3 linked regions of the Bombyx mori genome follow. The main gene of each other region encodes a partner of the protein of the gene in region 2 in a complex. Links are inferred from orthologs where the notes say so. Each region holds a gene or a part of one and is shown on either strand. Other genes may lie near its edges.

Region 1 (11,246 bases), on a different chromosome or scaffold from region 2:
AAGTATGATATAATGCTGTATAGAATCATACCTATCAATGCTACGTATCGTAGTTATCTGATTGAATTGATAAAATCAATTGTAATGGACAGCGTAACAAGAATGTGACTCGCTTTGCCTTTTGTATTTATACGACGCAACCTATAAAAATGTTGCTAGTGGAATGTGTTGCATTGAAACCATAGACTTATTTTGAAGTAAAAAAAAAACCGTAAAATACATAAAATATGTACGTATTTTTTTTTTTTCAAATGATTATCCTAGCCGGTATAATAACCGGCAAACTTCTTGAGCATTTGTTGACGTAGTGGGGGTAAGTTTGCGCATGGTACACTCACGTGCAAAAACATTACTTACTCTGCGTCATAATGCTATTAAAATTATTAAAATCAACATATGTATTTATTTATATATTTATTAGAACATCAACAAAACATATAGGTTAATAATTGTAATAATTTAATCTTGGGGTAAAATAGATATTCCTTTTATTAAGTCAAAACTAGAGCTGTTGCCAGGTCTTGGTTCAGTTGAAGCGAAGCTGGTATTTGTATTATTTTTTTCGTTATCATAATCTTGACCATCATCATCATCACTGTTTTCATCACCCGAGTCGCTATCATCGTGATGAGTCGACATAGGGCTCATTGGCGTAGTTTACAACTCGGTCGACTCGGTCTTCTTTTTTGTCTATAATTAATTATTTTTTGAAGATATTCGATTCGTAGTAATCGAATGTTACTTTTTTCATTTACCAGCTTTCGATTATTTTCTGTTCTTTTTTTCCATCTGAAGCCTAGCTCTTTCATAATTCGTCGTAAGCTTCATTCCGAGCCATTAAAATTTATATCTTCTTTAAATTTTTCGAAGCCTTTCTACGGTACGGAGTTTCGCTGCTTGTTATGTAGTTATTATGATTACATCTTTTTATTACAGATTGAACGAAACTATCCATTCCGGTAACTTTCTTCTTCCCTGATCTTTTCTTACCCGGAGTCCGCAACACGGCGAGCAAGCCAGAGCCTTTAGCTTCGTTAATAATGCACCTGACAGTACTCACTGATGTTTTTGTTGCTTCCGAAGTCTGTTTTACTTTTTCCATATCATTCTTCCCCTGTTTTATAATGAAGCAATATACGTCGTACACAAATTTTCTACCCTTTCTTTTACGTACTACACCAGTTTGTCACGGCATAGTGTATGTTTTATAAAAAATCAACAAACACTCAACAAATAGCAATGGCAACAAAGTCCACAAGCAATTATAACAAATCACTTAACGATTAATAACGATAGACTTTCCACTGTACGCAAGCGTACTTTTGGGAGCAAGCGGAATGAGGGCGCGGTGCGGGACGCAAGGTTCGACTGATCTACCAATAACGCGCTCGATACGATTTCCCCTGCCGTCGCGCCTCACCCTCACCACCAAAGTGATCTAAAATTCGGTTCTGCGCAGTCAAGGTCATTTGCTCAAGAAGTTTGCCGATTACTATACATAGTGTAGTATTTACCAGTACCTACTAGAAGTAGAAGTAATTTATTTGCCGGATTAGCTTATTAGATAATGTATTATTAAGTAGTACTTATAAATGTTCTCAAAGACCAATCTAGATCGCGGTCGAATTCAGTAGTTGTTCAAAAATAATCAAAAATAAAATTAATCATGATTACCGAAACCAAAAATTAACTGAACATAAACTGTACCCGTCATAAAAAATTATCACGTAACGCGATAACGTTATTTCATATAGAAACCAACCTTATACTTGTGCATCGAGTATTGCACGTAGGCGTTTTTAAAAGATTTCGTAAATATGAATGAATGGAGAGACATTTCTTGCTGGTGGTCCACAGAGAACGTTCTGAGACCGAACGCGTCGGAACAATTTTTGAAGAAGTCGTGCATTCCAATTCGTACGATAGCCGCTATTAAAATCAAATGAGACTTCGACCTGATACGTCATGATAGGCGAGCAGCAGTCACGAGTTGTGTTCAAGTCCAGAGTGCATAGTGCGAGTTTTTAACGTTCTCGATAACGTAAAAGTTAACTCAAATTTGTATGCAGTTAGAACAGCGCCTTTGGTGGCAAGCGTTCCACACGAGCACACAGCAGAGCCGTGAGTTCCACTGCCTAAACGCGCCTATAGAGAATAAAGCTGAAATTAAACAACACACAACTAATATATTATATATGTTACGGTAAATGTACACTCTTGGGAAATGTACACTTACTGGCAATGGCGATTTTGTATTTTGTATGCCACGCTCACATATTTTACCAAAACGACATGGTCATTGTGAATTCAATGTACATTTCCCTTCTTTGAAATTGTAAATGTTAGTTGAATGTACATTACCCAAACGAGGAGGCAATTGTGCACATTTACCGTTAAATGTGTACATTTGCCGCAATATGTACTTTTACACCGGTCACTCACATGCGCACGAATACGCAAACCCGCAAGTGTAGGACGACATTTAATTTTGCAAATGATTATGCAAAGTTTTCGCTGCATTCGTGGTTTTCCAAGCTGTGTCGGTTTTTTAACAGACATCAAAGCGCGCGAACCGCGAACCTTCGCGTAGTCTCACACACATTCGTTTGCCCAGTTGCGTCGACGATTGCGGAGGTAACGGAAGTATCGCCATTTTCATAGTTCGTGACGTCTACTGTGTAGCGTATCTTCATCAAAAGAAATCCCATAAAAACAGCATGGCTGTTAATGATGTCTGGGAAAAAATTCAAAACTCTTTTTCTCTTCAATGTTCTATTGACGAATTAAAAAGGAGGATAAATTCGTGAGATATTCGTGAACAAGTGTAAGAGGATGCGCAAACGGGTTCGCAAATTGAGTACCGAACCCATTTGCACAGCCGCTAAGTTTGCGAATGAATGTTTGACGGCCCTTCACATGCGCGCAAACATTCGTACTATGTACGAATATTTGCCCGCATGTGAGTGGCCGGCATTACCGTAACATATAGATCACGATTGTTCGTTAATGTTATTAGTGGAAATATGCTAAATTGTTGTTCTGATAATAGGAAGCGAGTAATCCGTCGGGCGGTAGGAGTGGCGTCCACAAGCCGACGCTGAACGACGCTCGCAAGCCGGTGACGTGGCTGTCGCGTTGCAGCGTGCTTTGACCCCGTCTGCACACTACGACCCCCGCCCCAGCCCTATTCTAACATTGTGGTACTTTGAACTGCCCACCTTGACTATATTTTTCTACCTACTTTACTTGACGGTGCGTTGACCTCCTGCGGGGATGAGACTTGCTTTTGTATTTTTATATCCAAGACTACGAATACATACTTAATTTCGTCTTTGAAAATAAATAAACAGTATTGTGCATTAAATTATCTGTAATCGGTTTGTAATTTGATTTTGTATTTAAAAACTTAAAATTTCACGGTGTTATGTTCATATCAATTTTAATGGTAAAAGGATATTATTTCAATAGATTATTTTAGCTGTACTTTATCTTTTGCTACTTTTTAAATTAAGATTATATATTATATATATATATTTTAATGTAATATAAAATGTACACTATTTAATTTGAATAAAGAGCTTTTTTTACATAAATCTATTTTGTTTCAATAAAATTCCAATTTAAGTAACGAATTAGTAATTTTTATTTACCAACATTAAATGTATACAAAGATAATTTATTTCACTATATAAATGGAAGGAACATCACTAGTTTTGAAGAGAAACCGAATAATTATAATTGTAATAACTCATTTGGTTCTTTTCTGAACTAGACTTTATACGAATGTTTTTCATTTCATGATGTTTGTACTTGTTTAGGTTTTGACCTGAATGGAATTAATATTAAATTCTTTGTTCCTATTAAAGCACTTTTGGTGGTAAATTTTAACAGTTGCAGTAACTTCTTGGCTGTCAATACAAATAACTCCAAAGTAAGCTGTGAACCTTTTCTCCAATAAACGATATATGCTGGAATTGGTGGGAGATTCTCAGACCAAATGCCGTTTCTGAGGCTTTTTGCTTGTGCTTCTGCTGATAATAGAGCAGGGGCAATTTGTGACTCAATGGTATTCTTTTTTAATTCTTTAGGAAATGATGCTTTTGCAAATCCAAGCTCCACCAATTTTTTACCAATATCCAATGTTTGAACATCTTTACTCTGAAATGGAAAACATTTTTGAAGAGTAATTTTTAATAATTTAAGGTATTTTGTTGAATTTGTTTAAATTGAAATATACCTTAGGCTGAGGTAAATGCAATAATACAGTAGAAACTAGATCATCATTATCTCTTCCGATTGGCTTTAATGTCACTTGCTGGCCCCTAGCAACACATTCCAGCCAATTGACTGCATTCCCACTAACTACTTCAATTCCCCACAGCTAAAACAAAACAAAAAGAAAATATTTTTATTACTTTGTAGGTAAATTTTCGTACAAGTTATATTTTTATCACATTTACCTTAACTGGTAGTGGAGGTTTACTGGAATGCCATAGCGGTAAATATATTGGGGCTTTGTGATTGACCAGAACACGAACTGGTGAATGTTGCACTCCAGCATATAATCCTTTCAAAGGTTCATGATTTCTGATGAAATGATCTGGAACTTTACTGGCTTTCGAAAACTTGCTAACCTATCGAAGTAATTTTATTATTTATAGTTATGTAATTATTAATATAGGGTTTTTTAAACAAATACTTACAGGGCGAATCTTATGAACAGATATGGCGAGACCAGCGGTGGCTAGAGCATATACTGCTATCTGTAAACAACAATCAGATGATAGTGCTTCGTTTACAAAGTTATTATTATCAACATCAACTTGTAATTATCTACATACGTTAACCCCGCGATAATCTTGTTGTAATAAATATTGCATGTTGTAAAATATTCCTCCTTCTTTTTGAGACATTTTGATGTCTACAGATACGAAATTCTCATAATTTCTTAAACTTTCGTAAATTAGCTCATCAATATTTTCAATCCAATTCTGAATTTAGATGAATGAGAGAAAAAACAGCTTCAGACTTGTCAGAATTTTTGTTTGATTCTACTAGAGCTCTTTATTATCTTTGGTTAACTACCAAATGTAACCTGACACAGTGTTTAATCTTTGGTTATTACTTACATAAAGCATAGATTTTTTAATTTTTTTGAGGCCTAGTCTTGATATGTCAATAAAAGTATCTTCATACAGTTTAGGTTTAGCTATAAATATAAATGCTTAAAACTTTTGGGAGATACTTCATAAGTAACGCGCAAAAAGTAATAAAGAAATAAATAACTTAACCAAAGATTGTGCTAACCTAAGGTTAACAAATAATACCAAAGAGGTAATTTATGACCTCTAACACACGAGCGGCATTCTGGCACTAAAATATTTGTGCTTTTTTGTAGACTGTGTTGGAGCTATGTGATCAATAATCTCGAATCATCAAGAAAATCTCTAGCTTCCATAACAAAATTGATAAAAAGAATAATTCAGTTGTAGCGTCGCGTATGTTGAAGCTGCAATTTAATTCTGCCACTTTTTATTATTATATTGTTAAACTTACCTAATAAGTTTAGAGGTGACGCACTGCGACTGTCTTTGCAATGTCGAAATAGCTCGTGTGGATGGATACAAAATATTTTACTGGTAGCACTGTTGAAATTCCACGTCAACTGATTTGACAGTTGATTGCCCATTTTCCGTTGTGTATTGTGTAGGTTAATAAAAATATATAATAATGATCACTGTTTTGAATACTATTGATACCGGCCATGAAGATATGATACACGACGCCGAACTGGATTATTACGGACTAAAACTAGCTACATGTTCTTCGGATAATTCAGTGAAAATATACGACATTAAGAATGGTACACAAACATTGGCTGCTGATTTGAAGGGTCATTTTGGCCCCGTGTGGCAGGTAGCTTGGGCTCATCCCAAGTATGGGAACCTATTAGCGTCATGCTCTTATGACAGGAAAGTTATCATATGGAAAGAGTCTGGAGAGTGGACTAAACTATACGAATACACTGGACACGAAAGCTCTGTGAACTCTGTTGCGTGGGCGCCGGCTGAGTACGGCTTAATCCTCGCTTGTTGTAGTTCAGATGGCTCAATCTCTATCATACAATATTCACAAGATACTGGTAATTGGGACGTAAAAAAGATAACGGGTGCACATGCCATTGGTGTTAATTCTATTAGTTGGTGCCCAGCTTTATCTGCAGATTTGAACTTAGATCCGCTTACCAATAAAGATGCTCCAAAGAGATTAGTTACTGGAGGGTGTGATAATTTAATCAAGGTATGTTACAAGTTGTGTTTAATTGTTTACTGACTCTGTATTACAGTAGTTAGCACTCCTAACTGTTGCGCCACAGAGAATCCTGATTTGGGGCCAGATGAATGTGTGTGATTTATTCCGGGTTATTTATTTATAAGGCAAAAAAAGAAGGCAGCAATTTTTCTTTTCACAATATCATATATTGCATGCATTAGTTAATTTTAAATGAAAATAGATATATTTCAACAATAATTAGTTGAATTTTTTTAATATATCTACCTAAAATTACCTTGTCCTTTATTATCGATATGTTCTTAATAAACCCTGTATTTAATGATTACTATTTAATGACATCATAATGCTTCTTAATTATAATTTTTTTAGTTAGTTATTCCGGTTGTTGTTTTCAGATTTGGAGAGAGCAAGGTGATCAATGGGTTGAAGAGAACAGATTAGAGTTGCACATTGATTGGGTCAGAGATGTAGCGTGGGCACCCTCTCTGGGATTACAACGTTCCATGATTGCCAGCTGCTCCCAAGACAAGAGGGTTGTCATATGGTCTAGTGATGATAATGTATCTTGGACACCAACAATATTAAACACATTTGATGATGTAGTATGGAGTGTTAGCTGGTCTCTCACTGGCAACATCTTGGCTGTATCAGGAGGAGATAACAAAGTCAGCCTTTGGCGTGAGAGCACTGATGGCCAGTGGTTATGTATTAGTGAAGTTGCCAAAGGTTTGGGCCAAACACCCAATGATGAAAGAAGCACACTTTGAATTTGCTTTTAATTTCATTTGTTAATTTTGTAATCTGCTAATAGTAATATAAAATATGTACATTAACACTGATCTTTTATAAACTTCATCAAAACCCAGATTTAATCTATATATTCAATTTGATAATCCAATAATTGGGTTGTGACATATCTAACAGGTTTTAAATAAATTGCTATGATTATTATTACTGTATGTATTGAACATGGGCTGAGGAGATGAAGTCACTATTGTCAATGTACACAATAATTTTCAATTTGATAGTATATTTTATAGAATTTAAAGAGATATTTTTAGTTTAAAGAGAAAAGTTCACATGTATACTTGACATGGAAATAAAAATTAGAGAAATGTACTTTTCACCTTGGAAAGTATGTTGCCATATGTCGCCAGAATAACTAGAATAGGTAAAAATATTTGGGTTCTTGTCTTAATTGTTTGTGACAATAGAAATAAAACAAAGGGACATAATATATATAAAAAAAATTATACTTAAAATACAAACTATCACATGTTTTTAAGATTAAAGTCAATTTGTTCTAACAATAATGGCATCTGATAATATTCGGCTATTGTCTTAAAAGTCATTAGTTGGTCTTTGATCTCTGTTACGGGAACCATCAGCGAAAAATCTCCAGCACAATCACAGACCACAGACAAATTCTCACGTTTTACCTGGAAGAAATATACATAGATTCAAATTCCGCAAGTAACCAAACATTTTTTCCTAGTCTTTATATATGTATATGCAGTCTGCTCACAATCCCATAAGGTATACATTCCTTTATTTCTTCCTTTAAAGAACCACATCAACTTCTTACTCGGAGTGCTAAAGAATGTTATTTCTTACTAAAGGAGGTTTAATAGAAAGCTGTAGTTGACTTTTACACACCATCATTAAAAATTAATTATTCTATGAAAATAGTATTATTGTAGTAAAATATTAAAAATAATGAGCTTTTGAGATGGGCTTCCTCATTTAGTCATTTTGTGATGTGGCTATGGGGTATTTCGATTTAGCTTAGTCACAGAATAATTGAAATTTTTTTTTTCTTTTTTTTTTTTTTTTTCCCTACCTAAGCTGAGAGCCTTGAGAGGCTATATCAGCGTAACCCTAACTTTTGTAGGTGAGCTCACGGGGCTCAAACCTGATGACGTTGCTAACACGAACCCTAGCAAGAGCCGTGCTTCGCAGAATCTACCACCGGATCGGAAACGCGACCCACTGAGAAGATCCGGCGAGAAACTCAGTGGGCTGTGTCTGAGAGTTAATTTACTCGTCGAGCCCTTCGTCGCAAGCGACGGGTTCGACGAGAACGGTGACCGGTGCTTGAAGTACCTAGAAGCACCGTTAGTGGATCGGGAGGATCCGAGATGACGTGTTTTAGGCGACGTCGACGGCTTTCCATTCTGTCCGCAGGATCGGGAATGTAGTTACCGGCGGCCACGATGAGAGGGTTCTCGTGTCGTGCCGCTTTATCGAAGTGGGATTGAAATAATTAACACTCCATTGCAGTGTTTCCTATAGTGCTAACATACTTATTAGGCGCTGTTACGTCTGGGCAGCCTTAAAACTTACATCGATAATGGTGGGTGCCGGGTGTGCATACTCGAACAATGAATGTGTAATATTTAATTATTAATACCTGGTGACATCGGCTACATATAAGATCTTGCAGCGTATACGCCATCGTACGTTTGTTCATCGTCTCGATTAGTCGCCATTCTATTTCCTGATTATCATATGCTGTTCCACAAGTTGGACATAAACACGCCGGACTGAAAATAAACATAACACAATGTTCTACACGTGCTTTAGAAATACTGAAATTTCAGCTCTCTCATAATCTACAAAACACATGTTTGGCCAGATGATTGGTCACTTAATTATTCTCAAAAACATTGTTTACTATTTAATCTAATATTCATTAATAAAAATAATAAAAATGGTACGCGTGCAACTTGGTGCACGTGAAAGAAGTGAAACTTCTTTTGTGTTGTGTGGTATTGTGATTTTCTTCATTTTTCATTCTTAAATCTTTCTCTTGTAATAGTGATAGTGTAATAGGAACTTTCGCCTTTGCCGTTTCCCTCTCTCCACCGAGTCGAGTGGTTCACCAGACGCTATCTATTTTCTCAATCTCGCTGTTCCTAAAATCTGTATCTTTCTAGCCGTAAATCTGTAGAGAGTTAAATTTTACTTTTAACGTACCTAAAGAAGTTTCACTTCAATAAATTAGTGTTCTCGGCTAAAATTCGATTCGATTCAAATCGATTTAAATTCATCATTCGCTGAATTTTTTTTATTGCCCTTGTAGGCAGACTGGCATACGAGCATAAACTCTTTCGAATTATTACTAAAACAGGTTATTTGAATTATCACTGAATCGTGGTTGGTGCGGGGTTGGGTCGGTTACCGTTCCGTCGACTATCGCCTCGACGACCCGTCGGTCGGGCGTCCTCGGGGTAGCGTCGCGTATCTGGTTGTAGTGTTGACCGCGGGAACCCTCCTACTCTGACCGGGTTCTGACCCCGGACGGAGATCGGACGTCGGGTGTAAGAGTGCAGGGGAGTCGTTTAGTGCGGTAGGGCCCTAAAATTCCTTGGGCCCGCGGTCTGCTCCCAACACTTTGCAGATCGTCAAGTCCCACATACCATCGTAGGAGGTTCGGCCCAGGCCCGAAAAAAAAAAGGTTACCGTTCCGTGTCGTCTCGCGCGTCCCTGCACAGGTCGAGGTCGCGGCAGTGGTTGCACACGCGGCACGTGAGCTCGGTCAGCACGCACGCGGCGCACGGCTCGCGCCACTCCGCCGCGCTGCTGAACTCGCCCACGCCGATCAGACGGAGCAGGTTGCGCCGCACCAGCGTCATCTGTCAGGTGTTTGTCACATCTATACTGGGTGCATGGAGGGTAGAGGTAAGGAGAACCGACGCTGTGTGTGCTAAATAAGGGTGGCGCTACTGTAGCAACCGGGTAAATTTTAAAAAAGGCGCTGAAAGTTATCAGAATAACATAGAGAAATAAAAAAGGACGAAAGAACTGTAAGCACTACAAAATCACAAAAAGTATTTTATTTAAAGCTGATAAGAAAATGCAATCGATGTCTCCATGTTTTACCACAGCAATAATTTTAGGTTATATTGACGAAATTCGTTTAGACTACGTAAACATGTGAGGTCTTGTATATTACATTGTCACTAAATACATTAAATTTCCTAACTCAGCATACTACAATCAGTTAAAAACTGCTCAATTCATACCATACCCTGTGCCTATGCTAGCGTCATTCTGGAGGATTTTTGAATCGTTATTTAGTGCTGAAAGTCGGACACTTTTTCAAGCTTCTCCCATAGTCAGACGGTTCTCCTTACCTCCACCCTCCATAATAATAGTGTACAAACTTATAATTTCAACTATTTCTAGTCGAATTTCGACTACCGGGGTCTACTAGTATAAATAAATTAAAAAACTTCAATATCATAGTCTTAAGTTGTATGTACTCGAACCTTTCACGATGGATAAACGAACTCACAGACTCGCTCTTAAGTGTACCGGTCATTGTCGATATAAAAACGCCAATGCCGCCTTGAGACGTGAGGTCCAAATCTCAATTGTATATTATAACAGTTGTCTCAACGTCTGCTAACATAATTATTACATCGCCTCGATGTTGCCATCGTATTTTCCTCAGAAATAAACTAGGATAAAACGTATTAATACAACAATTAGAGAATTTAAAGTTACATACGTACATCACGTCCAAATTTAAGTTGATAACAAGCGTGCAGAAAAAAATTATAACTTACTTGTTAATATTCTTGATTTGAACTTAATAAATAGATAACATTTCATCAATTGAGTCGACTATTATCAAAGCCGGCAATGTGACTTTTGGACAATTATTGGTAAATCAGAAAAACGAATTATTGACTTTGTATTCTATTGGCAGTCATAAAACTCTTCTGAACGACATCTTAGATAAATAACAGGTTAAGTTAATACTTTATTTAATACAGGTTTTGAACCGTATTCTTTGAAGGAGGTTCGGTAGGCAGCGGCTTGGCTCTGCCCCTGGCATTGCTGAAGTCCATGGGCGACGGTAACCACTCACCATCAGGTGGGCCGTATGCTCGTCTGCCTACAAGGGAAATAAAAAAAAAAAAAAAAAGGAGATGATTATATTCAAA
Region 2 (10,884 bases):
CACACTATTTGTAAAGATTATATGAACGACTTTTTGGCGGGAACGCGAGGAGTAAAGTTGTGTGATTTGTTTTATTTTGTCTATTTAGTGTTTCTTCAGGTTTAAATGTGTAATAACGGTGATTTATTAACTGTTTAATATCTGTGAAAGTACACAATTGTGGGAAAATGAAACAAAGCCGCTGGACGTAACTTCTCGGGATCCTCCAAAAAGTTTACTGAAAAAATCTTAGTAAATGACCACCACTTTTTCTGAGATTATATTTCATCCCAAATCATCTCGTCTCATTTCATTTCCCTCCATATTATCATTTTTCATAAAAATAAGAATATAATTAAAATAAGGCTTGACTTAAAGGTCTTAGTTACCAGGTCATTTTTCCCTTAAAAAAATTACATTAACAATTTGGCTTAAAGGTCTAGTAGCAGGCCATAAAATTACAAAAAAAATACATGAGCAGTCCGTCGGAAGAGGGAACGTACTCTGTATTTAATATACACATAAAACTGTTAGCTGCTGTTGACGAGTTTTACAGATTTTATAAAATGACAGTAATGAAAAGGTGGGATGTCTTTACATGGTGAGCAATAAAAAATGTAACACATTCAATGAATAAATATTTCGATGTGTCCATGATTATGGTCGAATTTCTTAATCGCTTTTTAAGGTGTTGCCATTATCAGTGTTAAAAAAAGACTGTGACTTGTGCTTGTCCTGCCGTCTACTTACTGCGTACCATAGTAATGGTGGAGGAGGAGGAGGAAGACTTGGATGGAATGGGTGATAGAGGAGGATGCAAGAGAATGGTGTGAGTGCCGAGATGACATATAGTAGTAGGTCTGAATTGATAAGGCCAAGATGAAGGCATGGTGCTCATTCCAATGTTCGAATTGTCGATAATCCCATTCTCACCGATTGTTTCGAACCTTTGGGTCTGCGGAGGGACTTCGCTTCTCTCTGTATTTTGTACCGTATGTTCCATGGGTAGTGCTCTGCGGTATTATTTGAGATGATTCTATCATCTCGTTTTTACCATCGCACTGCCCGCCACCGGAGTAGAGTTCATCCATACTACTTGGAGCCACTGCGTTCATCCACAGTGCATTTCTAGAGATCCTTTTTTTGCCATGCACCATCCGGTTTTGAAATGAGCTCCCCTCCACAGTGTTTCCTGAGCGCTATGACATGTCCTTCAAACGAGGCTTGTGGAGAGTACTTAACGGTGGGCAGCGGCTTGGCTCTGCTCCTGGCATGGCTGACGTCCATGGACGACGGTAACCACTCACCATCAGGTGGGCCGTATCCTTGTCTGCCTATACGGCATTAAAAAAAAACGTATCAATACCACCGAGTCTTTTAATAAATCATTTATATTTTTTCTACGACCCAAGTACATTTTCGGATTAGAATAAGTCTTAAAAGTATCAAGTCATGACTATATTCATGCTTTGAGTTCAAATTGAAAAGTGTTGTAGGTTATCAATAAGATTACAACAAAACTGACCTTTCAGAAGTAGTAGTTCCATTTTTCCCACATGGCAAACCTATCACGCCATAATCTAATCCTAATCTTCTGTATATTCGTACTGTTATATCCCTAACCTGTATAGACTAATGCTTACCAAACACCTTACTCATCATAAGCCCTCTCACAGTGATTTCATGAGAACATACCAGGCTCAGTTCGGGTCAGATATTCATTGAAGTGAGACGTTTACCAATTTTCCTCATTATTTCTAAATTCTTTTATTATAATTAATTATTCATTAAAAATATTGTGTAGTGTCGAATAAATCCTTTTTTAAAAAGAGTTCGGCCTTCTCACTACTAACAGTACGAACATTACGAAAAATAATAATGTATGTAATGGTTGGATGTAATGAGAAGTTTTCTATGTAATCTGAGACTGTAATGAATTTGGATGAAATTAAATGAAGCGATATGGGATGAAATAAAGTCTCAGTAAAATTGTGGTTATTTCCTGAAACTTCACTGAACTTTTTGGAACAAACCGAGAAGCCATATCCAGCGACTGCGTTTCGTTTTCTCACATTTATACACTTTCACAGATGCTAAACAGTTAATAACCGTCCTTTATTAGACGTTTAAGCCGGAAGAAAATTTAATTACAAAAATTAAACCTTGTAAAAGTTCGTTTGTCGCGTTTCCGCCAAAAGTCGAGTCCTAATATATTAAGTGTATAATCTATGGTCGAGTCGTACACAGAGTAGTTAAAAATATAGACCAAAGTATATGTTTGAATAAAGCCTATACCTAAAGAGGTCATTTGCACATTGAGCGAACATGAGTCATTACAAAATCCCGATGTACAGACAGATCACACTTTTTGTTCAATAATGACTAGTGAAGAGCCCTCCTACTGAATCTAAGCTCTTACCTTAAAGTACTAAGTTCTAGTATAAAAATATATATTTCTGTAAAACGTTCTTATGTTTAATTAGTTTTCCCGAATTTACTTCGATACAATGAACGTGGATCCCACAGGCCTTGTAGCTTTTAATTACTAATAATGATTATAATAATCTAGAGTGTGCACTAACCGTCAGATGAGCCGTATGCAAGCCCAACGGTGATTACTTAAAAAAAACATAAACAAAACGGATCCTTAATCCGGTCGAGTACTCTTCGTATATTTTATAAAGGTATTTTATCTGGGTTCCCAGATCACAAGCTACTTCTCACACGCTGGCGTGCGTCCCTCGCTAACGGCTCTGTGTCGAGCCTCAGTGGGCACTCATCGTGTCTCAGATATACAATTCATTGATTTTCTTAACCTATAGAAATTTATAATATAATAATAAAAAGTATAATGAACAAATTGTGTCTTTACATAATTCATTATGAAATTTCGATTGATTTCATATTTTACTATTAACGACATTCGGAGACAAAATTGGAGATTAAACCACAATAGTTTAAATATTCAAGGTTATTTTTTCTTTTGATTTGTTTGATCTTAATTACTAAACAACCCACAGATGAAATAAACAAAAAATATCACCAAAGAAAAACGTGTGTTCAGTAGATAGTCGGTCCCCCGGGGCGCGCTACAGGCGGTGGGGGGGGTCCAGGGTGCTGCAGCGGCAGTTGCAGGAGCTGACCGGGCACTCCGCGTGCTCCCTGCAGCACACGGGACTCATTGGCACGCGCTCCGCATGTTGGGAGCTGTGTCACTCTCATTATATTTTATTTATATTCATTCTATAACTTCGCTCTAACGTCCTGAGCCCGATGGCAGCAGCAGGGCAAAAACAATATCATCTTATTGTCAGTTTCGGTGTCATAAAAACTTTTTTTTTTTTTTAATCTGAATTTTTTTATTTTTTTTTATAGCTTAGGGGTCTGGACGAGCTCACGGCCCACCTGGTGATAAGTGGTTTCCGGAGCCCATAGACATCTACAACGTAAATGCTGTCACCCATTTTGAGATGAGTTCTAGTTTCAATATAGTTACAACGGCTGCCCCACCCTTCAAGCCGGAACGCTACTGCTTCACGGCAGAAATAGGCGGGGCGGTGGTACCTACCCGCGCGGACTCACAAGAGGTCCTACTACCAGTAATTACGTAAATTATAATTTTGCGGGTTTAATTTTTATTACATGATGTTATTCCTTCACTATGGAAGTCAATCGTGAATATTTGTTCAGTATGTATTTTATTAGAAAAACTGGTACCCACCTGCGGGATTCGAACACCATCGCATCGCTACATACGAATGCACCAGATGTCTTATCTTTTAGGCCACGACGACTTAAATATATAAGTTTATAATACTTGTTCGGAAACGGAGAACATTAGACAGAGAGCGCACGGGAGCGGGCGGCACGTACTTGAACCAGTCCATGAGGTGCGCGGCGTGGCCCCCGTGCCTGCAGGCCACGCACCAGCTGAACCAGCGGGGGAAGGCCGCGCCCCCAGCGCCGCCGCCCGCCGCGCCCCCCGCACCGCCCCCCGCGCCCGTGCCCAGATGCAGCGAGCACACGGCGCAGCGCGGCAGCGGCTTGCGGCAGTTCGGGCACGACGAGATTTGCTGAAACATCGCGCCCCCTGCTCGGAACCTTCTCGGAAACGTCTTAAGGCTTCGTCAAACAGAACGCGTAATTAGCGCGCATCAGAGCGCTACGCTATGACGCCGAGATGTGCTGTACTACTACTATGGTAACATACCGTCAAACAGAGCCCCAGCGCTAGCAGTACGCAAAGCTCTGTCGCGGCGTTAGGACGCTTTGACGTCAGGCATTGTAATTTTTTACAAATTTTATTTTAGCGTCCGAGTGAATGTATATTAAAATACTGGATAATGCCCGAAAAATTGATAGAATTAGTTAGGAAATATCCATGTTTATACAATGCCACATCTGAATCACTCGACATCTTGAAACTTTTTAATTTTCACACTGCTATCGAAAGGCACTATAATTTGGCGTTATGTTGCGTCAAGGAGCGTTGGGCTCGTCTAGTCAATTTGTGTGACATGAAAAGAGCGCGACGTTAAAACGCCGCGTTAAGAACGTGTTCTGTTTGACGAAGCCTTAAACGATAGTTGTTAACGAACGAGGCGCTGCCGCCCCCCCCCCCCTCCACGTGCCGCGGGACGCGCGCCATTTCATTCCGCCGCCGACCGGCCGTGCGATCACGCGCGCCCACTTCATACAATTTTGTTGGCGCGTCCATCACCAAGAAGCCTCCGTGATTTAAGAAAAAAACACGCGCGGCCATAACAAACAATTTGCTGCCGCGTGTAATTTCAAGAAGCCTCGTTAACAATAGTTATAAGTTCGATCTGGGTTTTTTGATTTGGGATTGACAATAATTGATTTAAAATGTTTATAACTAATTAATATAAGAAGTTAACGTTTTTTTTTCTCATTGCTCACGAGTGTTTCTGAACCCATAGACATCAATAACAAAGATGCCGCCACCCAGCTTGAGATATGAGTTGTGAAGTTCAGTTCTATAGTAGAACTGCTACCCCACTCTTCGAATCGGAACGTATTACTACTTCGCGGCAGGGGGGGGGGGGGGCGGAGGTACCGGTAACGTAGCATTTCATCACTATATGAAGTATGTAGGTCGCGGGGGAATGTTGTATTTACCTTCATCTTGGCGGCGGGCGGCGGAAGGCGCGCGAGCGGCGGGCGAGGCCGGGCCCCCGCGGCCGCCGCCACGGACTTGCCGCAGTAGGTGCAGGCCACGCACACGTGGCGCACGGCGGCCGCGGCGCTGCCCCCGCACACCCACGTGTCCAGCGCGCAGCGAGCCCACCACAGCCGCCAGCCGTCCAGCAGCCCGCGGTAGCTGCCCGTTACACACAACACTTCGCATTACTCTCTTCACAAGACTGCACTGCTGCTGCCGGAGTGCCGTCCTGTCTCAACGAGTCTATAGTCCTCGACAGCCCGCGCACGACACCGAGCACGCGGTGCGGCAGCCTGTCCTACCCGTCTGCTCCAATAATCGCTTGTGACTGAGAAAATTATAAACTCTTTTTTGTGAGCCCATCTGATGTTAAGTGGTCACCGGCGCCCGTATATGCAGTCTTCTGGAGACGTCGACGCAAGGTCGACAGCATAAATGATTCCACACATTCACATATTTTGCGGGTACCACTTTAATGTCCCTGTTGCTAACGGTGGGGTCAAACTGTAAAACTGTTCAATAAATGAAAACCAAATTTTCCATTAACTATAGTGTGCGCGGAAGGGCTAGTCACCGCCTGCTGTATGCGAGCGGCAGGGCGGGCGAGGTAGACAAACGTCAAGCTAACTCAGTCTGCCGTCGACCACCGCGGCGGTTGTACGATACAGTTGTTCTTGCCAGTTTGTTCCAAACATACACGAGATAAAATATCCTAAGATGGGTCCACCAATAACACGATCAGTGTAAAATGTAATTTACAATGTGCACAATTTTTTTTCTCAGACCGTAATTAGAATTGTAGCTGAAGTAAATTCGAATCGGCAAACATCGGAAAAATCAAAATTTACTTCTCCATGAAAACCTAAAAAAATAAAAAAGAGAATCTACATTGATGATTTCGACATGGGGGTATTACGATGGAAAATTCATAAATTTTTGTTGGTAAAAAAATCAAAATAGATAAATAAATAATTATTTTTTTATAATGTACTATAATGGTGATAGTTTTTTTTTTTTCTTTTTAAGAAATGTTCATTTGCTTATAAAATTGTTTTGTTTCGTAATAAAATATAATAAACACTTTTGAATATGCATTTTTTGTTTAACCAGGAAATAGAAAAATACAATATTAGAATTAGGCACCCATTACATTAATTCTAATATGTTATTCTGAGATTTATCTGCACTTAATATAATATCGTGTGCGTCTTGTCAATCGCGCTCTCCCCCGTCTCACCCCGCTACATACCTCAGGAGATGACCAGCGTTTCCGCGCGCACTACAAGTGCACTGTTATACAAGAATGTAATAAAATAATTTGACACTACCATGAACGCACGGCGCGTCTACGTATTGAATTAGGTATATACAAATCACAATTTAATGCCTCTTTTGCTAGCGGTGGGGTCAAGCCGTAGAAATGTTCAATCAATTAGTAAAAATCTATGATACTATGATAGTTGATGTGGGTCGGTGTGGGGCAGGGCGCGGTACCTGTCGAGCCAGTGCTGCACGTGCGGCAGGGCCAGCAGCTCCGGCGTGAAGCAGCGCGCGGCCAGCAGGGCGGCACTCTGCACGTCGCCGCTCGCGTCCAGCCAGTGCTGCAGCAGCGCCGCGCCCTCCGCGCCGGCCCCTGGACCACAACACCGCGCAGTGTAACACACGTGTACCGAGCACATCGCCGGGGTGGGCAGCCCGTCCCTCACCGGTGAGCAGCACGCCGGACAGGTCCCCGCGCTGCACGAGCGCGTCGGCCGTGTGTCGCACGTACTCGTGCAGCTTGCCGTCCGACAGGAACATGCAGGCGAAGGCCACGCGGTCCTCCAGCCGCATCTCCGTCTCGTTCTGCGGGCGGCGCCGCGGGGCAGATGGTACTCGATTGTTTTTAATCCGTATTATGTTACGAAAATGTTAAGAAATGGTTATTTTAATTGTGTTGTCATAACTCTTATATTGTTGCCAGATTTGTTTATTACATTAATGAATCACTAATGATAAGTGATTACCAAAGCCCAGAGTTCGCAACGAGGATGCGAGCCCCCTTGAGACTTGAACTCGGAGTCTATATGATATGGTACAACGGCTGCCCCGTCCTCCAAACCTGAACATGTGACCGGCGGGATAGTGGCACCTAATGTACGCTCCCCACAAGCGTTAGTTGTTACTTTAAATTGAATTCTCTCACTGCGATAGACGTGATACTTCAAGTGACGTTTAAGGGACGCATCAAGGGCAAGCGGGTTGGGGGAGCGGGTCGCGTTACGTCACAATATACTGACGAGCACGGCGGACAGGTCGGGCGGCGCGGAGGGCGCGTGCAGGGCGGGCGGCGCGGGGGCGGAGGCCGCCAGGAAGTGCAGCAGCCCACGCAGGTAGGCGTCGGGCAGGGCGGAGGCGCCGGCCGCCAGCGCCTCACGCCACAGCCGCTCCTCGCTCAGCCCCGCCAGCGCCAGCCCCACCACGCGGAGCTGTTCCAAACAACCGTAGTCACATATCACGAGGAAATACTTTATTTATTTATTTATTTAATACAAGGAGAACCAACAGCCAACTAACAAAGTATAATAATATAACAAATAATAGAAACAAAAAGCCAATTAAAGGTTCTCACCAATATAAACAAATTAAAAACACTAGAGAAACAAAAGCATAGAAACAAAAAAAAATTAAAAACATTCAGCAAGCAAGAAACAACATAAGGAATGGAGGAAAACACCAGACTAATTTAAATGTACACTTATGTATAAATGTCACAAATTAATTAAAAACTGTTGTGCTACACGTCACCGGCACATGGCCCCGCACCCTCTGCCCCCTCATCGCCCACGAAAAATCGGGCACTAAGCTGACGTCTAAGTCCTGTGATAGAGGAATAAAATGGGTCAATATCTAAGAACCTGCCAAGTCTGTTGAGGTCACCACCAACACGTAAAAAGAATGAGTTTTGCCTATAGTTAGTGGAAGCTAGTGGCAAAGAAATTAGATTTCGATGCCTTAAAGATATTCTCTGTGCATTGAAGCCAACTTTGGATAAGAGCTCCGGGCAATCCACCAAACCTTTAACGATCTTTAAATAATATATAATGTCGGAAACCCCACGCCGCAAGTAAAGAGGAAGTAGATGATGTTTTTTACAAAGGTTATCATAATTATTAGAGTTATAGGCAATATTTAATTTAAAACAAAGGTACTTTATAAATTTACGCTGAATTCTTTCAATTCGTTCTATATAGATATTATATTGAGGATTCCAAACTTGTGAAGCGTATTCTAAGTGACTGCGAACAAAAGTACAGTATAGTATTTTAATAGTTTTAGCTTTACGAAAATGTTGAGAGTTACGCATAACAAATCCAAGCATTTTGGAGGCTTTAGTCACTATAGAGTTAACGTGTTCATCGAATGTGAGTTTGCTGTCATGAACAATACCTAAGTCACGTGTACTATTAAGTTTAATTAGTTCATGTTCATTTAGTTTATACTTGTAGGCTATTTGGTTGATTTTTCGAGTGTAAGTAACAACATGACATTTAGTTGGATTAAGATCAAGTTTGTTTAGTAAACAATAATGACAAAGACGATCTAAATCAGATTGCATTAACTTGGCATCATTGATGGAAGCAACCTTCATAAAAATTTTCATGTCATCAGCGAAGCAGAGAAGGCGTGAGAATTGAAAGCACTTAGTGATGTCGTTAATGAAAATAATAAAAAGCAAGGGCCCCAGTAACGAACCCTGAGGTACGCCACTGGGAATAGGTACCCAAGCAGAAATATAATTGTTGATCACGACTGCTTGCGATCTCTTCTCAAGATATGATATAAACCATCGTAATAAGTCGCCACAGATTCCTACGTTCTGTAGCTTTGAAATCAGAATAGAATGGTTAATTTTGTCAAACGCCTTGCTATAATCTGTATAAATTACATCAACCTGTTTACCACTATGCATGGCATCAGTAAGATAATCATTTAAGATAACTAAATTAGAAACAGTCGATTTATTTTTTAGAAATCCATGCTGAGTTGAATTAAATACATTTTGCAATGCCGCGTATACTTGAGTATAAATAACACGTTCAAATATTTTTGAAATAATACAAAGTTTGGAAATTGGTCTGTAATTGGTAACCTCGAACTTAGAGCCTTTCTTATGTACTGGGCTAATAAAGGCCGATTTCCATATTGCTGGAACAGTGCACTCATGTAAAGAACGCTTAAAAAGAAGGTATATTGGCAAAACTATGCCATCAGAGCAACCAACGATAAATCTGGCAGGCAACTGGTCTGGACCAGCTGATTTAGATAGATCAAGATTAAGAATTAACTTATGTATTTCGGCTTGGTCCAAGTAGATGTTGTTTAAGTGAGAAGTTGCGGTGAAATGCTCATCGGCTATTCTAGGTGTCAGATTAACAGAGATATCACAGTCAAGAAAAGTAGATTGGAAATAGTTAGAAAATGCACTGCAGACTCCCTCAGCCGAACTTGAGATCACATTGTTATACGAGACAGATCCTGGCATTGAATTACACTTAGACTTTGATTTAACGTAGGACCAGAACTTTTTAGGATCATTTCCTATTGAAATTTCAAGAGAGTCAATATAATCATTGTAACAATTAGTTTCCAGTACTCTAACCCTGTCCCGAAGCACATTAAAAGAGTTTAGATCAGATTTATTTCCATAGTTTGAATATTTACGTTTATATTTATATTTTTCTTTGATAGCTTTTTTAAGAGCAGCTGAATACCAGACTGGGTAATGATCAGAGCCAGTTACGCGAGATGGTACATATCTCTCTTTGAGGTCGTTAACTGTCTCATAAAAATAATCAGTACAGCCCTCCAAAGATCTTGACTGAAACTCAACACACCAGTCAATATTATTAAGCTCTCTATTAATTGACAAATAATCACCTTTATTGAATCGATAGTTAGTGCGCGGTGCAGTTCTTAGAGTTACAAGTTCAATACATTTGAACGTAATACAAAGAGCCTCATGATACGGATCAATCGGGACCATTGGATCAACACACTTACTCACAACCAATGATTCATTTGAAAATACTAGATCCAGAATCCTATCATCCTTATTAGTTATCCCATTGTACTGAGCAAAGTCGTGAACATGCATTTCATCCACAAGCAATAATTCATCACTACTACGAGCATTATAAGGTGTAAAGTAACCAAGATTAGACGGCAGCCACGTAATGCCGCTCAGATTAAAATCACCAACAAGTAGGAATTTATCAAGTGAATTATCCAAAACAATGTTGGTGAGTTTCGTAAGATAATTAGTTAATTGTTCAGAGAAAGATAACTTAGAACCCTGTTTGCATAAGTATAATACACATATATGCAGTTTAATAGTTTCACGTTTCAACTTAACGATGAGTGTAACCCACAAATCTTCAACCGATGAGTTAAATGACGGCTGCAAACTAACTTTTAAATCTTTACGAGTCGCAATCAAAACACCGCCACCCCGAGATTGACCCGTAAGGTCACTGTTCCTATCCCTACGCCAAACTGTATAATGTTCATTAAATAATTCGCTATCTAAGATGCCATCAGTCAACCAAGTCTCAGTTAAAATAATCACATCATAAGAACACAATAGCAGGTTACGGCTAAACTCAAGAACTTTCGTCCGAAGTCCACGAACATTTTGGTAGTAGATATGAATACTATTCAGGACTGATTCATTGTCCATTGTA
Region 3 (10,884 bases), on a different chromosome or scaffold from region 2:
GTTGTTTGTGTGTAGTTCAGTTTGTGAATTGTGATTTTTTTGTAAGATTATGAAAATTACTCTGTTGATGTATCTTATTTAAGAGCCCCAGCTTTCTTTCTATCTGATGATCACTAGCTTCGACGAGCTATTCTGATTTCTCCGTTTGGGTAGGCGAGCTGATAGACTTCGCTAACGTCAACCCTAGCAAGAGCAGTGCTTCGCTGAATCTACAACCAATCGACTCGAATTGGGACCCACTGAGAAGATCTAGCGGGAAACTCGATGGATTGCGTCTGTGACGTTCCAGCAGTTTGACTGTTGCGTTGTGGTAAATGAGAGTGGACTGTATTTATTGCTTTTGAGATATTTATTAGATTATATTATTATTTATTAGTAGAGATATTTATTAAAGTTTGAATATAACAGAAATATGAAATCGATCACCCTTGGCGGCTGGAATTGAAAGGGAAAAAGTGTCATAGCGGATTACGCTCGTTGACACTTTCGACGTTCCGAAATCAAACAGTGACAAGTACAGATAAATAAAATGCCTAAACTGAATGAATATTAATAAATAAGTAAATAAATTTAAATATTTTGTTTGTAAATATTTCGTTTTTGTGTACGGGACTGTTCCGAATACTCGAGTGTGAGACTACATCTATAACACGTGTTTCTGTGTTTTAATATGGCGTATCTTGTTGTTGCCGTTGGGTGCAAGCGAATCGCGTGTGCGTGCGTGTACAAACGAGGACTTCATATTGACGTGTGAGTGCGTGCGTGCGTGCGCGTGTGTGAGTGCGTGCGCGCGCGTGTGTGTGTGTGTGTGTGTGTGTGTGTGTGTGTGTGCGTGAGTGAGTGAGTGAGTGTGTGTGAGTGGGAGTGAGTGATTGAGTGTGTGTGTGAGTGAATGAGTGAGTGTGTGTGTGTGTGTGCGAGAGAGATAGCGAGTGTCGGAGCGTGTGGCGGGGCGGTACCTGTGCGCTCCGCGTGAGGATGGAGGTGGAGTGTCGGCGCCGCGTGAGTGCCGCGTCGCTAGCGCCGCAGCCCGCGCCCGCCATCTGCAGCACGCGCGTCTCACACTGTCCCGTCTCACTCGGTCTCACACGCCCGACCGCACCGAGCCGCACCAACGAACGTGTGGGCCGTGCTCGTACTCACCACGTTAACCGTACTTTAATTAGCGTCAAAGAATAAGCTTCTCTTTAAATAAACGTATGCAGGACGAAAACAAATGATAGGGTCTGTGCGAAACATATCGATGAAGCTTATTCTTCGTGTGTTAATCATGCGTTCGGATCTCAAACAGGAAATTAAAAATAACATAATATACAGCAACTGATTCGTAAACTAAAATAAAAAAATATCCATGCTGATGTCATAATCTGTATCCTCGCAAAAGTTGAAATGCAAATTATGATTAAAACAATCATTCAATAACAACTAACCTTTTTATTGTTTGCGAACAATCATGCATGCGGCGGACGGTAAATTTAGAGGCATCGACTGTGAAATTTGAAATTTCTTGTTTGAGTGACCAGTAAGCGATAATGCGTGCAGAATCGAATATCGTCATATACAAATATCGTTTCTCCAGTTCAATACTGTACATTTTGTACATGGTTATTTTAATGACAAACAAAAAATGCACACATCATAGCTTTTTATCATAGATTATTTTTGTTGGACTAGTCTAGAAGTATAAACAGTCAAGCATATTTGCAAAACTACAATGAATTAGACATTTTAGAAGACTGTGCAAAATACCATGCGGTGCATAATTACTACGTGTCATTATATTAAGTGCATATTAATTTCATGCTATTCTTTTATATTCATATAAAAATGTATGTACATACATTGTGACCTATACAACACAATGCATAAAATGCTATACAAAAATTCGAACACTATATATTTAGTGTTTTTATTTTTATTAACCACATTGAATTTAAATACGTCAGAATTGATCATGGATTGAAAAATAATACACAGTCTAGGCTAAATAATTGTATTTCTTAGCCGTTAAGACTGGCATGAAGATTTTGAGTTACACTACTGTTGTGGTGAAAACTAGTGATCTCATAATGCTTCAATAATCTATATTTACTTTAGCAAAACCATAGACATCAGTCGTCAATATGTCCTATATTACTTTTTTTAAGTCTAGCTGTCCTATAAAAAGTAGAATTTGACTTTCACCAACATTTCCAATGTCATTATATACTTACCCTCTGTTTGTTTGGCCTTTTGACTTTATTGAAATACAATTCGGTCATTTTGAGGAAATTATCGGTTAGTTGGTCCAAATCATGACGCGTCGGAGTTGGATATATGTCGCAGTGGGTCGAATCGTCTTCGAGAATTTGTTTCGTTGCCGGATTGTAGAGAGGCAATAGTAGAGTCCGGAACCGCCAGTACTTCAGAGGCTTGAAAAAAAATGTTCGAAACTTTATATTATTATTCACAGAACTCTTTACTTTTTATATAAATAAAAACTTGTACCCCACTATGCAATTATATGCAAATTACACTACTTTACAAGGTTTTTTACCCAGAGATGAAACTGATATGTACGTTAGAGTTATAAACCCTTACTTAAAAACTGAAGCTGAAAAAAAATTAGGACGTCCAATTTTGTAAATATTGATTATATTTATTTATTATCATTTTTATACAGTTATCTTAGAAACAAATAAAAAATGGGTCGTGTTACTTCTTCTTTTATACTGATTCATATCAGTTTCCCTTATTTATAGACCAACAGTAATTCGCTAACATATTTTTAATCCCAAAATCCTTTGTATCTTCCCTCGAAAAACTTCAAATCCTGGTGAAAACGTTCGCCATGCTCACCATTCACGCTTCCCAGATTCTCCGGAAAAAAGTCCAGATGAGAATGTTAAAAATTAATTTTTAACGACATATTTACTCTCATTCTTTGGTAATTTTTCAGTAAATTGGAAATAATTTCTGCTTAATTGTTTCCTATTCAGATTTATTGTTTCGAAATTTTCACTAATGCTCTAAATGAATACCAATCATCTTTTTCGACATTGGATAAGTTACCATCAAAATTTTCATCCTTTAATATTTTACTGTCCGCGCGCGAGCTTCGAGGATTTTTAAGGAATGTTGACGTAATGAGCTAGTGTTGTGATTAGTCGATATTGCGCTATCGATACTAACACATCTTAAGCCTCCGTGCGAGTGTAAATTATAAAATAGTTTTATGAGGGTATTATGTACTTGAAATAAAAATAAAACAATTGATCACGTATGAATTTCATTTAATGAACTGATTTTTATTGAACAAAATGAACGTGAAATCTTATTAATTACTCTCGCAATCAGATTAATCAGTAGTTGAAGAATTTGATGTACTCTCCTCTTGATGTCACTCTCCTCACATACTACAATAATAAATGATTCGACAACATCCTCCATTAAGCCATCCTTTTGCCAGTAATATTCCTCTAATCCTTTTTCATCAAATTAAATAGCGATTTGCGTAAACAAAAAGACTTATAAGTGTAAGACTATTTATATTAGAAATCACACGTAATTAACACTGCTATCGCCCGCCCGCTTCCTCAGCCCCCGAATCCTCCGAGCTCGCGCGCGGAGTATACTTATTTGGGGACCCACAAAGATTTCTTCTTTGAGTTTTGCATCAGATAAACTAGGTAAAATGGTTTTTAAATACTTTAAAGCTTGTCCATCTTTGTCAAGTGCTTTGACAAAGTTTTTCATTAATCCCAGTTTGATGTAATAGCTGTAAGTTGGGTAATGATGGATTAGGAACTTTTTCAGAATGTAGCACAGGTTTTGTGACTGATGCAACATCAGGATATTGTATGTGCTTTCGGTTTTTATTGTTAAAACCTGTAGTTTCAGTGAGGCAGAAGTAACAGTCAGTAGTATGATTTGTTGGTTCTCTCCATCTCTATCTCTCTATCATTGGGATGCCGAATCGTAAATGTTTTCTTTTTCCTGCAGCCCAGTTCAATAATATACTTCTGCAATTTTCGCACACTACACCAGGAACCCATTTTTTATCAAGGTTTGTTACCGATTTGAAAGTAATGGAACTAGGCTCCTTTTACGTGATTCAGTGATTGGTCTCTTCTTTTTTGGCAAAATAATTTGACCACAAACATAGCAAAAGTTATTTGGGTTTAATTTACACTACCTTGATGATATTTTAAAACAAAAATAAATGTTTGAATAACACTTAAACGCAATAAAAACAAACTAAAAACTCAGACACGGCTAACAAGGCAGCTTACTTAGGTGAATTCTGGTGAATGTGGTTATATCAAAAACTTGACGTGATAAAATTATGAGACATATATTTTTGTAGTAAGGGGGCAAGTAGAAAACACGCCCAATATGAATTATCTTTGGGTAAAAGAAAAACTTTTTTTTTGTAAAGTAGTGTTATTATGCAGCTACTAGGGTACATACATACAAATCAAACAGCGAATATTGCTATCCACCTTGACACATGAGGTCGATGTCTCAAAGGGAAAAATTCGAAAGACCCATGATGAATACGAGCTCGCATAACGCCCTGCCAGCACATTAGTGTTCGTATTCGAATTTGACGCGTTGTTATAAAAATAATATATACTAGGTAAATAAAGAAATGTTTAATTTCATTTAATATACAGGGTGTTTGTTAAACTTCATAACTTAAAACACTTAGGGAAAAGTGTTTTAATAGCACTTGAAAAATATACTAGTGGGCCCCCGGTAGTCGAAATTCGACTATTATAAATAATTAAATAATTAATTAATTATAAGTTTGTACACTATTATGATTCTATTGTCACAGTCTATACTTCTATCATCACAGATTTCGCCAAGACTACACTTCAAGCAAATATTAATAAAGACAAAGGATATTTAATCTATTCTCAATTTGACCACATAATAGCAATAAATAGCAATAAGTTTGACAATAAACAACTGGTATAGTCCCCGGCACGTAACTTGACAAGAGTCGCTAGATGCGCAGAAGTCGTTTTTTAGGTCTCTTTGGTTGTCAAGCGGGACGCGGGGAAAGACGTAGCACCGTTCCGAACGCGCGATTGGTGAGTCAGTCGACCCTCCCCTCCCGCACCGCGTCCACGTTCCGTTCGCTCCCGGTTACACATGTGCCTACAAAGTTGTAGGAACCCTTTATCTATGTTAAGTTTTTGTTACGAATTGTTATTATTGTTTTAAGTTTGTTTGCAATGCCAGGACCAAATACCAATGACCATATAGTCGATTCAGTCACTGGGCGTTTTATTATTTACGCCAGTGACGACAGAAACTCTTCGTTATGTCGACGATGAGGAGCCAACTCCTTCCACCAGCTCAGGTGCTACCATAAATTTAATCCAAGGGGTAGCACTATTAGTAAATGATAGTGACGACGGCGACACATAATTTTTAATAATAAGTATATTTTTTAAATTATACTTCTTAACTTTTAATTGTATTTTATTTATAACACCTAATACACTTCACGAATTCCTCTCTTTTCTTTAACTTTCTTCTCAACACACAGGCTTAAAAATAAATTATGGCAAATTTTAAATTTAATAAAATAAAACTAAATTATATGCGGGCATTTTTTTGTTGCAATGTGCACTATGCGCAACATTACCCCCACTACACCAAAACCTTGCCAACTTACGTGCCGCTTACTATATGCGTACGTGTGTGTGTCAAATACATGGTAGGGTGTGTAATGTTTTTTTTTATTGTTGATTTAATGTATTTTTTATGCATAATTTAAACAAATATTGACATTCTGCACTCCTCTATATGTGTAGGAAATTTGTTACTTCTCCGTCCGCGCAATTTTGGTGAAAAGGGATACAAAGTTTTTGCTACGCGTATTAATATATAGATAATACAGTCTCAATTATGAATAGTGTTATACAAGACTTACCTCAACTAGTGCGAAATCACTGTCGCCGCGCGTACAAATGTAATGGTCCATGTAGTTCCAGTAGTAAGTTTCCAGTTTTTCTGTCGTGAACGAAACCCACGACACCTCGTACGTGTCGTGGTTCGGTGCGTGGAAACGATAACGGTAGTGTATATTGAATGGCGGATATGGATGTCTGAAATAAAAAATTAAAAAATGTTCTTCAAATACTGATTGATTCGGCAGTGCATTTTTTATTTATTGCCTTTGTAGGCAGACGAGCATACGGCCCACCTGATGGTGAGTGGTTACCGTCGCCCATGGACTTCAGCAATGCCAGGGGCAGAGCCAAGCCGCTGCCTAACAATTGCATGCATTAGTTAGTCCCACCTGGAGTGAAACATTGTGTGGCGAATAAGTTTGTTTGCTCTTTTTTCGGGTGTTTATTATCTATATATGTTTTTATTATTATTATCACCCCGTATGGCCAGAACCAGCGTGGGTCGCAAAGACATCTGTCGCCTTTTTGCTCTTTCTTAAAACGTTTATACAGCAGCTTAAATGTCGTCTTCTTTGGTCTCCCTCGCCTGACCCCGAACTGAGATATGGTTACCCTTAGATTAAGGGAATGTCTCAATTCCATCGTCCGACTCCATGACGACGACTTATTACGGAGAGAGTGTTTTCATTTATGGTAATATAATAATTACACATGTTTATTTAAACGTTCGTTTGTCAGTCTCTGGTACCCAAAACACAGTGAATCCTAAATTGGGGCCGGATGACCGTGGGTGGTTTGTTCCCAGTTATTATTATTATTATTATTATTGTTAATACTTTTTTGCTTTAATCTCCACACATTGTCCTAGCAATCGAAACAAAACTGCAACCGATTATAAAAAAAGGGTGCAGTTCCCACGCAGTAGGTTCTTGAGAGAACTTGCAAAAGTATTCTCATTTCATTCGCTCCAAGTCTACATCGTATAGCTCATATGTGTTTTTCGTTTCAACTTTGAATTACGACGGTGCTAAAAAAGTTTTCATCGAAAATGGATACTTGATAACTAAAAATCTTCTACCTGGGTCTGTATCTAGTGACGGTGATGGTGGACCCGACCAGCGTAAGTTTGTGGAAGATCCTCCCAATCGAGAGCAGGTAACGCTTGGTGGGTGCTGCGTTGGCTGGTTTCCCGCACTGTGGGGCCACTTTGGATGGTGGGGGAGTCGCCGTTGACGCACAGTGAGATTCGATTACTTCATTCTCGTTAACACCCACAATCAGCTGGAAACCCTAAAATTTTTTTGGTTTTTTTATAAAATTATTCAACTTTTACACAAGTTTATGTATATTGAACAGGTTTAAAAAGCGATTTCCGTATGATATCCTGGAATAATTCGCTAAGACGACGAGAGCAGAGTCCTCAAATTCATATTGAAGATTCTAAATTTACCTCTAGTAGATCCGCGGTGCAAGTCTTGAAAAAATTAGAGCGAAATAAAACCAAAAGGCGGTAGTTTTTAAAGATATTTTTGGGCATTGGAATCCAAGCCAAATAAGTAGCCAAATTATTTGAAATTACTCTGAGAAATACCACAATTGACAAAAAGCTATTTAATTTAAATTATATATTTAAATAAGAAAAGACAGAGCAATTAAGTACCATTCTATCTTATGCGTCAACCATTTTTTTTTCTTTTCTTTTTATAATAGCTCTTGGCTTGATTTAGTAGGTATACATCTCAATAACAAAACAAAAAATAAGTTATAATGCATAAAATAAATCTGTAGACTAGCTTGAAGTGTCTTGTGATAATGGTCGCGTTTTAATAACCGGACGAACACTAGTAATACATAATTAAGTAATACTAACCTGAGCTAATCTTTGTGAGACCAACTCCTTGAATACTTCCATTGTGGTCAGGGGATCTTTGTATATAGCTCGGTTCTGTGCGAAATCGGCGTTCACGTCGTCCGGTAACAGATTATAATCCGATACTAGATAATCGTTTTGAAGTGATCTCTTGTCGGGAAAGTAGTCCGTAGTGATCGGAAGGCAGGCAGGTATGGTCAGTGACTTCCAGTCGACCCCTAAACAACGAATTCGTTAGTTCTAAAGACCTTCTTCTTTTCTCAAACCTACACCTGGGAAGCTTCCATATAAATTGCAAATTTTGTCTATCAATCACAAATTAATGAAGGTCAATTGATTCAAGTTTCTCACTAGTTAATTGTTTTATATTTCTCAGAGTTCGAGAAATCTTCGAATTATGATCTAGAATTTGTTTCGGTAATTTATTAACTTTATTATAACATTTGGGAAATGTTCAAGGCATCATAAGCAGATAAAACTTGTTAAAATCAATTTTAAATAAACCAAAGAGATATATATTGAATAAACTACCCAATTTCATCTAACAACAAATTTAAAGAGAAAAAAAGGTCATGTCTTAATAATAAAAAAATGAGTGGGAAACATTTAAAAATAATGAACACAGTTATAGATGGCAATAATAAAATGAAATGGTAAGCTAGAATTTCATGCATCTCAGATGAAAAATAAGACTAGACTCTACTAAACTATAAGCAAACTAAACTAAAAAAAAAACTATGAATGCTACAATAAAATGTGCGATGACTTCATGATAATGTATGAAATGAAGTTTTAGGTGATTTATACACAGCTTGTAGTATGTCGAAGTTAAAAAAATCGCTTGACTCAATCGCAAATTACAATTTAGTAATTCTCTGTTGCTTTGAGACCACAGAGCAACTCTCACGAGACGCAGCGTTCTGCGACAACCCTATCCGATGATTTGCAAGGGAAGTTTAGCGAAGAAAATTGTCCCTTCGTAATAAGGTGCAACTCTACAAAACTTGCTGACGCCTCGTCATGACCTATGCAAGCGTAGTGTTCGCCCACGCGGCCCCCACTAATTTGAAACCCCTTCAAGTCGTTCAACCGTTTTTTTTTCAGTATATCCGTCGGAGCAGCGTGGTTCATAAGGAACGTGGATATCTAAGACAATCTGGAGTTTGACTCCATCAGCAAATATTTTCAGTCGGTATCAGTGCACTACTTTGAGAAGACGGCACGACACGAAAGCCCCCTTGTCGTAGCCGCCGGTAACTAGATCCTGCGGACCGAATGGTAAGCAGTCGAAGTCGTTCTAAACACATCATTTCGGTCAGGCTGTAAAAAATACTGTGACAAACAAACCCGACATTGCAATTTTCATCTGAGTCATTCGTATTAGAACTAAGTTATTAGCTTTTTCATGCGTTGAAAGCAGTACGCACAAATACATCTCTTTATTTACAACAGCTATGTATGTTTGAATTGTGAAGGTGACATCGGAATTCTAGTTACAATAAAAAAGCAAATTCATTAAAACGGAATCCCCACAGCGTTATATAAAATATGAACACAACGTTACACATAAACTACTTTGTATGAGCTATTCATGAAATTGTGATATCAAACCTATGGCGCGGTTCGCTTTTGTTCCCAATCGAAACCGTGTGGTATTGAAGTTATATCCCAATGCGACGATGTCATGAAACATCAAAAATGAGATGACACGTTTAGTAAAAAAAAAAAAAAAAAACATATTCAATAGCCACGCCAGCTCTAAGAGCCGAAAGTAAGCAAGTGAACTCGTATGCACTGGCCTATGTCTGGACTCAACTTGTCTAAAGTAAAAATACTTTTTTTTTTTCATTATTTTAAATAACAGATCATATAGGCCAACCCATAAAATTAATAGAAGACTGAATCGTGATGAGATTGGTTTGTTAAAATGAAAATGCCAATTATTTAAAAAAAAAGAAGATATATTCTGTTGTCACAATAGTATATCGTTGATGAATATGTTATAATTTACCGTTAACAATTTTATAAATGCAATTTAAAAAAAACCCATTATATTTGAGATAAGTTATAGCATTTTTTATGAAGCCAATCTCATCACGCAAAACACACAAAATGAAAATTGAATAAATTTTATACCGACCTGTCGTCAGAGCGGGGGTCCACTCCTGTTCGCCCGTAGCCCCCCACAGCAGCGCGAGCGACGCATTGTTGGTCGTGGAGGGAGTCCCCCCGGACACGCCGAGCACGGCTAACGTTCCTGACGCACTTATCATGCGTTTCCGCGACATAATGTTGCCTGTTACAAAAACGTTACAAACATTCCTAGATACCGTGGTATAGATTAGTTTACTGATATCTATCCATTAGGTTCGGTTTTTTTAACTATGCTGATAGCCATGAGAGACTATTTCAGCTTCTGTAACTAAACTGAGACCTTAGAACTTATGTATCAAGGTGGATGGCGCGTAACCACCAGGTGGGCTGTGAGTTCGTCCACCCATCTAAGCAATAAAAAAATAAGCTTCACTCTAGCGTTTAGGTGAGCTCTCAGGGCTCAAACCGGAAGTGTTGCAACACTGGCCCTAGCAAGAGCAGTCCTTCGCAGAATTTACCACCGGATCGGAAACGCGACCCACTGAGAAAATCCGGCGAGAAAGTTAGCGGGCTGTGTCTATGGGTTAATTTACTCGCCGAGCCCTTCATTGAAGGCGATTAGGTCGGACGCACATTGCGCACACTCACCGTCAACCTGATATATAGAATGGTTGTTGTTTAATATCGAGGAACCATTATCCTTTGGTGTGTTACTTTCGCAGCGATGCTCTTCGTTGCGGGCCGGCTCGCCAGCGGGACGGGCCTGGTAGTGATGTTGCTGTATCAATACGCCAGTTGGACCTGAGAATTTTAATTGCATTATATTTGGTCTGAGGATCACGTTCGGTTTTAGTTTAATTTTTTTTATTAATATATGGGGAAATGAGATTACGATCCATCTGGTGGTAAGTGCTTATCGGACCTCAAAGGCACAACATCAATATATTATTTTTACACACTGTGGTTCAAAATACATAATATAATTCACCAAAATACTAATAACAATTTCATTCA

Evidence for each region.
Region 1: GATOR2 complex protein MIOS (region 2) and protein SEC13 homolog share a complex: the UniProt entries of both Drosophila melanogaster proteins name them as parts of the GATOR complex. The link is inferred for Bombyx mori from reciprocal best matches to the Drosophila melanogaster genes mio and Sec13.
Region 3: GATOR2 complex protein MIOS (region 2) and GATOR complex protein Iml1 share a complex: the UniProt entries of both Drosophila melanogaster proteins name them as parts of the GATOR complex. The link is inferred for Bombyx mori from reciprocal best matches to the Drosophila melanogaster genes mio and Iml1.

Annotation. Positions count from the first base shown.
Region 1 is NC_085131.1:3,990,133-4,001,378, reverse strand, and holds protein SEC13 homolog, read left to right. Parts: upstream 1-4,913; 5' UTR 4,914-5,730; coding exon 5,731-6,300; intron 6,301-6,689; coding exon 6,690-7,061; 3' UTR 7,062-7,127; downstream 7,128-11,246. Other genes in the region: small GTP binding protein RAB8, read left to right, coding at 3,050-3,151; uncharacterized protein LOC101741756, read right to left, coding at 3,796-4,158, 4,238-4,381, 4,461-4,634, 4,704-4,763, 4,842-4,913; DNA polymerase epsilon catalytic subunit 1, read right to left, coding at 7,566-7,733, 8,705-8,837, 9,757-9,929. UniProt on the Drosophila melanogaster protein: Functions as a component of the nuclear pore complex (NPC) and the COPII coat. At the endoplasmic reticulum, SEC13 is involved in the biogenesis of COPII-coated vesicles.
Region 2 is NC_085114.1:15,833,364-15,844,247, forward strand, and holds part of GATOR2 complex protein MIOS, read right to left. Parts: intron 7,630-10,884; coding exon 7,441-7,629; intron 7,007-7,440; coding exon 6,868-7,006; intron 6,795-6,867; coding exon 6,656-6,794; intron 5,321-6,655; coding exon 5,119-5,320; intron 4,053-5,118; coding exon 3,853-4,052; intron 3,142-3,852; coding exon 3,069-3,141; 3' UTR 1-3,068. UniProt on the Drosophila melanogaster protein: An essential component of the GATOR subcomplex GATOR2 which functions as an activator of the amino acid-sensing branch of the mTORC1 signaling pathway.
Region 3 is NC_085116.1:10,867,394-10,878,277, forward strand, and holds part of GATOR complex protein Iml1, read right to left. Parts: intron 10,672-10,884; coding exon 10,519-10,671; intron 10,073-10,518; coding exon 9,917-10,072; intron 9,403-9,916; coding exon 9,388-9,402; intron 7,995-9,387; coding exon 7,777-7,994; intron 7,197-7,776; coding exon 6,985-7,196; intron 6,102-6,984; coding exon 5,927-6,101; intron 2,412-5,926; coding exon 2,214-2,411; intron 1,044-2,213; coding exon 960-1,043; intron 1-959. UniProt on the Drosophila melanogaster protein: An essential component of the GATOR subcomplex GATOR1 which functions as an inhibitor of the amino acid-sensing branch of the TORC1 signaling pathway.